Linked DNA regions of Callithrix jacchus. Each later gene encodes a partner of the first gene's protein in a complex. Links are inferred from orthologs where the notes say so. Each region holds a gene or a part of one and is shown on either strand. Other genes may lie near its edges.

Region 1 (3,801 bases):
GGCTGGTGTGTGGGAGAGAAGCCCTCTGGGTGGCCCCGGCACTCACTGCATGGAGACGGTGGAGACGGCAGAGGGGATCTTGCCCATGCCCCCACTCTCCACCAGCTCAATGGCCTGCTTCATCTCCATCTTGTGGTAGAAGGCAATGAGCTGGGGCTCCTTGGAGCGCTCGCCAGCTATCAGACACTTCTTCACATATTTCTTATTAAACCGGTTGAGCCTGGTGGGAGGAGGAGGGAGACGATGGACCCAGCTCCCAGGAGTGGGGAGATGCCCAGGCTGGGGAGTCCCTTGCCTGCCCCTCCCTGCCTGCCCACCAGGCCTGCTACCTACTTGTCCTTCCAGTGGTGGTGACCGTAGTGGCCACAGATGTCCTCGATGCCTGTCAGAAGGTGGTCCAGGAACTGAAAGGGGCCCAGGGCCAGGTCAAGCCTCGCTGTGGGGCGCCTTCCCAACCAAGACCTCTGACTAGTCCTGCTTCCTCCCCGAGCTGCAGCCCTGCTGGGTCCAGCCCTGTGGTTCCATGAGCAGCCAGGAGGTGGTGTCCACACCCCACTCATTGAACCCACTAGCCCTGACTCTGGGTATCTCAAACCCTCACCTGTCTCCGGCTGAGCCCCCTTCTCTAATCCCACCTGGGACCCATGCCTGGCATTGGTTTCAAATGGAAGCAGAGATGGCATGATGCCCCCCTCCTCAGGCTCCCAGCTGCTCACACCACACCTTCCTATGGCTAGACCCTGGCGGCCTCCTGAGCAGAGGGAGCCCCTGGGCACCAACACAGGGAGGAGGGGCTGATGGGGGGCAGGGACATGAGGCACAGCTGCTCCCCGCTCCTTTTCCTGCAACCGAGGACCCAGCCCGCACTCCAGTACCTGTGTGTGGATCTCCTCGTTGATGGAGCGCTTTGTCTCTTGCTTTTTCTTCACAGCTAACAGGTCTACCAGGGGTCGAATGGTCATGCCCTGTTGGGGGCAGGCAGGTGTCAGGCACTCCAGTTCTGCTACCCAAGTAGGGAGGCCGCAGAGCCTCCCTCCCGCACCCCAGGCCCCGAGGGCTAGGATGCCCTCTCTATTTTGCCCTCTCCCAGGACCCAAGGGTGTGAGAACTCCCCCACCTCCCAGCACTTATCTAGAGAACCCTGCCTTCCTGCCAGGCCCTCGTCTCTCCCAGCTCCTTGCAGGGTCCTCACCCATGCAAGGTGAGGTCCTTAAGGCCTGCCTCTTCCTGGGGACATGGCCAGAGGTTTGACCACCAAATGACCCCCACGCTGGTCATCTGGCCTGGGCCAGGTGGCAGAGAGCCTGGGTTCAGATGTGGACTGTACCATACACTTGCTCTGCAAGCCCAAGGAGGTCAGGCCCCACACAGGGAGAACCACCTCTGCACTGCCTTCCCCCAAGGACTGCTGGGAGGACCCAGTAATAACAGCAGCAGCAGCTTCAACTGCATGCTTGCCATGTGACCAACGCATGCGCTTGTAAGTCTTCTAGTATCAGCTCTCCAGTACCCACAGCACTAAGTGGGAGACCCTTCCTTGTTCCTATTTAACAGATGCAGAAACTAAGGCTCAGAGAGGTTAAGCGGCTTTCTAAGATCCCGTAGAAGCAGTACAGCCATGATTCAAACCCAGGCAGGCTGGCTCTGGAGGGAGGGCTCCTCCCCAATGCTGCCTTCAATGGGCTTGGAAAATCATTAGCATATAAAAAAATTTTTTTGAAGACGTAAGCAGGGCAAGACAACAAAAGTGGCAGCCTCCTCTCCCTTTTTTTTTTTTTTTTTTTTTTTGAGATGGAGTCTCACTCTGTCACACAGGCTGGAGGAGTACAGTGGCACAATTATGGCTCATAGTTGCCTCAACCTCTTGGGTCCAAGCTATCCTCCCACTTCAGCTTCCCAAGTAGCTGGGACTACAGGTGTGCACCACCACACCTGGCTAATTTTTTTTATTTTTTGTAGAGACAAGGTCTTGCTATGTTGCCTAGGCTGGTCTTGAACTCCTGGGCTCAAGGGATCCTCCTGCCTCATGCACCCAAAGTACTGGGATTATAGGTATGAGCCACTGCACCAGGGCACCCTCTCCTTTTAAAGGACAGAAAATAAGCCCAGCCCCAGGTTTCCCCTATCTATTTTTCTCAAGAGAAAGCAAAGATATATCCCATCTAGGGCTTTTTGAGGATTAGTGCCCAGAAAAGACAGACAGGATGGTAAAGAAATGGAGGCTCAGGCCGGGCGCGGTGGCTTACGCCCATAATCCCAGCACGTTGGGAGGCCAAGGTGAGCAGATCGCCTGAGGTCAGGAGTTCGAGACCAGCCTGGCCAACATGGTGAAACCCTATCTCTACTAAAAATATAAAAATTAGCCAGGTTGTGGTGGCACATGTCTATAATCCCAGCTATTTGGGAGGCTGAGACAGGAGAATCACTTGAACCTAGGAGGTGGAGGTTGCAGTGAGCTGAGATCATGCCACTGCACTCCAGCCTAGGTGACAGAGCAAGACTCTGGCTCAAAAAAGAAAAGAAATGGAGGCTCAGATAGAGTATTTCTCATTTGTCCAAGGTCAGACAAAGTCAGGTAAGGTGGAGTAATCTGTACCATCAGATTACTGTACAGGCTGGGCTTCCTTGGGGACCTTAGGCAGGAGAGTGCTCTTAGCTAAGCCTGGGCCATTTAAATATACAGAAATCACTGACCAGCAAACTGGAAAGAATCTTGGGAATCACCTCGCCCGGTTTCCTCACTTTACAGATGGGAACTGAGACCCAGAGAAGGGAGGGTCTTTCTTAGGGTCAAAGAGACAACACAGAACTAGGGCTGACCAGGCCTCCTGCTGCTGGCTCAGAGCCCTTTCCAGTTCCCCATGCTGTGATATTATTCCCATTTTACAGATGCAGAAACTGAGAACCTAAGATATGAAATCTCTTGCCTAAACCCATACAAAGAGTTTGTAGCAAAGAGAGATCTTGGGCCTGTTGTCTGCACCCACTTCTCTCGCTCTCTCTCTTTTTTTTGGAAGATGGAATTTCACTCTTGCTGCCCAGGCCAGAGTGCAATGGCACGATCTCAGCTCACTGCAACCTCCACCTCCCGGGTTCAAATGATTCTTCTGCCTCAGCCTCCTAAGTAGCTGGGATTACAGGCATGCATCACCACACCCAGTAATTTTGTATTTTCAGTAGAGACGCGCTTTCACTATGTTGGTCAGGCTGGTCTCAAACTCCTGACCTCAGGCATTTCACCCACCTCAGCCTCCCAAAGTGCTGGGATTAGAGGCGTGAGCCACCGCGCCTGGCCAATACCCACTTCTCTTAATGCACCATGGCTTCAAAATTATGTTGGGCAGCATTCTGGTTCCTTTACATTCTGATCAGTCACTCTGCAATGACTCATCACAATTCTCACTTTACCATTGAGGAAACTGAGGCCCAGAAAAGGGGAGTGGCTTGCCCAAGGTCACACAGCAAGTTAGTGGTAGAGCTGGGACTAGAATCACATTTGAAATCACACGCTTTCCTCTCTTTCCACGGGAGCAGCATCAGGGTCCCCAAGGCAAGGGCCTGCTCTGCTCTGTCCCAGCACCTGCACAAAGACGGTAAAGAAGATGACGGTGATGATGGCAGTGAGGAACAGGTCACACATAGGGAAGTGCTTCTTGTCCAGGAGGTAGCCCAGAGAGAAGGCGATGGCCCCTCGCAGGCCCCCATAGGCGATGATGAACTGGTCCTTGGGAGTCAGCTTCACGATGCGGAACTTGTTGATGAACCAGGTCAGGCCCAGCACGCCTGCAGGGGAGGGCAGCG
Region 2 (4,540 bases), on another chromosome or scaffold:
GCTCCTGCTGATTCTACCTGATGGTGAGTTGTATAATTATTTCATTATATGTTATAATGTAATCATAATAGAAATAATGCACAATAAACATAATGCACTTGAATCATCCCAAAACCATCCCCCGTCACCCATCTGTGGAAAAATTGTCCCTGATGCCAAAAAGATTAGAGACTGCTGAGCTAGACTTTAGCACACATCCTTCCAGCTTTCTTTGGCCCTAAATAGAGTTAGAAGTAAGAATACAGTTGAGGGTGCCCTGCGTCCACAGGGGCTTTGGATGAATTCCAAGCAGATACTGGTTGCAGGAGCAAACCCAAGGCACAAACAGAGTCACTTCAGGATCCGGATGCTCATTTTTTGCTCAACGTCCATCTTCTCTAATGACTGAGGGGGAAATGAATGGCAGGTAAGAGGCTTGACTCTCAACTCTCCATGCTCCCAACCTCCTCTCCCAGGGTTCTACTCATTCCAGAGACCCCATCGTTCCCAGGTACCCTATCTTTCCGCCCTCCTCCGTTGAACATTTCCCATGTCTGTCTGCCCCAGGGACTCCTGATCTCCACTCCCTAGTCCACAAGGGCACCCTGACCTTGGTGAACTCCAGGAAGGACACAGCCCCATCCCCATCTTCATCAGCCTCCTGTACAGTGCGGTCAGCGATGTTCTCCAGCTGCTCTTCAGTCACCTGTACCCCGACCATCAGCCGGAGAACCTGGAAGATGAGTGAAGAGGCAGCCATAAAGACGGGGCACAAAGGTTGCTACTCCCCCATCCCCTAAACCTTGTCCACCTCATCCCAGAAGTTATTACTGATTTTATAATCCATCCTTCATACATTTTTCACCATATTTCCCCAATAATTTTCCCTACTGCTTCAACAACTAATCTATCTCTCCCTCACCATCCCACACTACCCTCAAAATATGCTCAAACTCATTACCCAACTTTATCACCCAACCTCCATCCATCCTCCACACCATTCGCCACCTCAACCACTAAGGATTTGTAATTCCATCCTCATTCCATCACATCTGTTCCAGAGTTTCTCAATCTTGGCACCATTGACATTTGAAGCCAGATAGCTCCTTACTGGGGGAGGCTCTCCTGGGTATTGCATGACATATAGCCACATTCCTGATCTCTAACCACTAGATGCCAAGTAGCACATTCTCTCCCTCATTGTGACAACATAAAGCATCTCCAGATAATGCAAGATGTTTGCTCAAGAAGCAAAATCACCCCCAGTTGAGAATCACTGATCTATTCCCAACCTCATAGTCAACTGCTCCCCATCTAACTTCCAACAAACCCATACTCCAACCCCACCCATTCCCATTTCCCAACCAATACCCCAATCATCTGTGCCCCAGTTCCCCAGTCATCCCACCCCATCCCTCACACTATTGCATTCAACCATCCCCCACTTCACGCATCACATCTCTTGCCCTCGCTTTCTGCCAACCTGCAACATCTCATGCCTGGAGATCTTCCCATCGCGATCCAGGTCGTAGAGCTGAAATGCATCTGGGGAGAGGGTGGGAGGGGAAAAGGAAGGTGGGTCTTCCCTGGCTCTCTTCCAGCAGGAGGCCACCCTGGAGGAGGGGGGCAGTTGCCAGTGGGCTCAGGAAGGTAGTGGGAGATTCCTGGAGCCTGTCCCTGGTGTGAGTACATCTGCCTTCTCCCTTGGTGGGTCCTCACAAACTCACAGTGAAGTTTGTTCCTTCTGCTGTTGAGAGGTTCAGGTTTCTTGGGGTCTAGGTCTGTGTCCTCATCTTCTACAGGGCGAAAATGAGCCAGGACCCTGACAAAGCCCGGGAAATCCACTTGCTGGCTCCTGGGGAGACAGGGCGGGGAGGAGAGGCGCAGAATGGAAGGGGGTAGTGGTTACCTTGTCCATCACTCTGCCTCAAGTCTCTAACCTCCCCTCCCACCCACTCACACACCGGTTTCCCACCTCCACCTCCCCAAGTCAGCAGGCCTCACCCATTGGGAAAGAAGCTTTCTATAATGCGGTCTCCCAGGGGGTTCACAGCCAGCGCCCCTATCTGCTGGAGATCAATGCGGCTGCGAAGTCAAAGTTCAAAGAGGATAAGGCAGAGATGCCAGATGGAGGGTCAAAGAGGGACGTGGAGTCAGAGAGACAGAGGCCAGAAGTCATGCGGTGGGCTCCTCCTTACCTCAGGTAGCCCTTCTTGTTCCTATCCAGTGCCCGGAACCGGTGGTGCAGGCGGATGAGGCTGGCTTGGGAGACTGCGGGAGGCAATGGGGTGGGGGGTGACACTGCGGGGCGCGCTCCAGAAACCCGCCTCAATCGGCTGGGAAGGTGGGCCGGGGACAATGGGGGGTGGCTGGAAGGGACAATCATCCCGGAGGATGGAGCTGGCCGGGGTGGAGGGAGAATGACACGACCCCGCAAAAATCCAGGTTCGAGATTCGGGCGGCTCGCAACGTCCCGAAAACCAAAGTACAGAAGCCATCCCTTCCATCAGCCGTCAGCTCTGTCTTCAGCCTCGATCCGGGCTCGAGGACACCTGGGTGGCCTGGTTTCGTCTGGACTCCAACCCTGTGAACCTGGATCCTCCCCAGACTTGGAGACTGGGACCCCTTGGTTAACCCGCCCGGAGCCCAGAGATCCCAGGCGCTGGGGTCTTGGTCTTCCAGCTCCGGGGAACCCCGCATCCCGGACTTGTAAGTTCGTCCATCCCTCAACCCAACTCCTTCCCTGGTGACCTCTACGCGGCGTTCAAGCTCCTCGGATCCCCAGCCCCGGACGCCCGGGTTCGTCCCGTCCCCTCCGCAGCTGCCGGCGCGGGCGCACTCACAGCCGGTCTCTCGCCGAATGCTGTCCACGTCGGGAATGACCGCGGCGTGGGAGCTGCGCGAGCCCATGGCCGAGCTGGAGGCGGGAGGGCAGGAGCAGCCACCCGGACCCCACGCGTTCTCTCCTCCGGCTGGAAAGGCGTGGCCGCCCCCGTGGCCCTAGGGGATGAAGGTCACAAGCCTGGCGCGCCGCCAAGCTCTGGAACCCCGACGTGCCTCGCCTCCCACCCGCAACCCGGGCGAATGGAAAACAATGTCCAGGGTGGCGGGTCAGAGGGCGGCTGCGAACAACAGGCTGTTTCAGCTCCGAGATTTGGCGGTCGGCGCGGGAGAGGCTGGTCGACGCTGGAGCCCCTCCTTTCCACGCCTACCCCGCCCGGGGCCGGTTCCCACGGTCCGCCCGACTCTCGAGCCACCTCCTCCTTCGCGGTCCCCGGACTCTCCCAGCCCCAGAGCGCTCGCCGGCGGCGTCTACTCAGGAAGCCCTGGGAGACCAGACCTGCTGGGTAGCGACCACGCCGTGCTGGGAGGCGGGTGGCCTCCTAGGGGAAGGGAGGAGAGGCATCGAAGGACTCCCAAAAACCGGGAAGTTGAAGCGGAGAGCGGTGAGATGAAAACTGTGCGTTAGGTTAAGTGGAAAGAGCACTGGGTTGGGAGTCCTTATTGGAATCCCAGCGGTACCCCTGACTTTGGGAAAGTCAGTATATCTTAGTTTCATCCCTTTTGTTTGGTCCACATAGCCTCATTGTTGTTTAATTGAGCCAATGCTTAACATTCAGGAGATTTAACCCAAAATCCACATTCCTGGCTTTTTCTGACAAATCTCAAGTCTGACACCACCAGGCCCAGAGCTGTCCTCTGGCCACAGTCCCTCCAAGCCCAGTTCACTCCCTTAGGTACCTAGTGCCAACACAGCGCTCCAGACTGGGAATGACTTAGTCCTGTGACCAGCCCTCCAGAGCCACGGGACTCTTTGGCCCAAGAGAGAGTTACAGACATCACTGGGACTGGGCTTAAAGCAAGAATGACAACAGCAAGGGCTCTTGTTTACCACGCTTTGCTAAGCACTTTATATGCATCCGTTCACACATTCCTTGTCGGCCCTGCTGGGCTGCCTTCTTCTGACTTTATGTGGTGGAGGCTGCCAGGGGGCAGGTTGTGAACTAATTATGTAAAACATGCGTTCTCAGTGCGGTCTCTATCACACCCCACAGGGGAAAAAAATAGAACATTTTTTTAATGTAGAAAGCATAGCATACACACAGCACATAAATAGATGTACAATATAGCTGTGATATTGAAATTTCAGGCAGACATGGTGGCTCACACCTATAGTCCCAAGACTTTGGAAGGTAGGGGCAGGAAGATTGCTTGAGCCCAGGAGTTCAAGATCAGCCTAAGCAACATAGTGAGACCTCATCTCTACAAAAAAATACAAAAAAAAAAAAAATTAACCAGGTGTCATGGCACATGCCTGTGGTCCCAGCTACTTGGGTGCCTGAGATAGGAGATCTCTTGAGCAGTGAGCCGTGATGACTCCAGTCTGGGTGACAGTAGAAAGAAAATAAAAGGGGCCAGGTGTGGTGGCTCATGCCTGTAACCCCAGCACCTTAGGTGTCCAAGGTGGTGGATCTCCTGAGGTCAGGAGTTCGAGACCAGCTTTACCAACATGGTGAAACCCCGTCTACTAAAAGTACAAAAATTAGCTGGTGGGCACCTG

What was found.
Region 2: the proteins of SLC9A1 (region 1) and CHP2 are in contact, whole or in part, in a crystal structure (PDB 2BEC), measured with the Homo sapiens proteins. The link is inferred for Callithrix jacchus from reciprocal best matches to the Homo sapiens genes SLC9A1 and CHP2. Residues at the interface, in NP_003038.2 of Homo sapiens: Ser517, Ile518, Asn519, Glu520, Ile522, His523, Thr524, Gln525, Phe526, Leu527, Asp528, His529, Leu530, Leu531, Thr532, Gly533, Ile534, Glu535, Asp536, Ile537, Cys538, Gly539, His540; in NP_071380.1 of Homo sapiens: Arg30, Arg34, Leu38, Leu51, Ile54, Ala56, Leu57, Asn60, Pro61, Leu62, Ile66, Phe70, Phe83, Leu87, Phe90, Tyr118, Ala119, Leu122, Tyr123, Met136, Val139, Leu140, Met143, Ile156, Arg159, Thr160, Glu163, Ala164, Phe177, Ser180.

The regions. Positions count from the first base shown.
Region 1 is NC_133508.1:63,755,630-63,759,430, forward strand, and holds part of SLC9A1 (sodium/hydrogen exchanger 1), read right to left. Parts: intron 3,784-3,801; coding exon 3,581-3,783; intron 966-3,580; coding exon 876-965; intron 405-875; coding exon 334-404; intron 221-333; coding exon 47-220; intron 1-46. UniProt on the Homo sapiens protein: Electroneutral Na(+) /H(+) antiporter that extrudes Na(+) in exchange for external protons driven by the inward sodium ion chemical gradient, protecting cells from acidification that occurs from metabolism.
Region 2 is NC_133513.1:24,356,558-24,361,097, reverse strand, and holds the start of CHP2 (calcineurin B homologous protein 2), read right to left. Parts: upstream 2,962-4,540; 5' UTR 2,890-2,961; coding exon 2,823-2,889; intron 2,251-2,822; coding exon 2,178-2,250; intron 2,065-2,177; coding exon 1,984-2,064; intron 1,835-1,983; coding exon 1,707-1,834; intron 1,525-1,706; coding exon 1,463-1,524; intron 713-1,462; coding exon 590-712; intron 385-589; coding exon 331-384; 3' UTR 1-330. UniProt on the Homo sapiens protein: Functions as an integral cofactor in cell pH regulation by controlling plasma membrane-type Na(+)/H(+) exchange activity.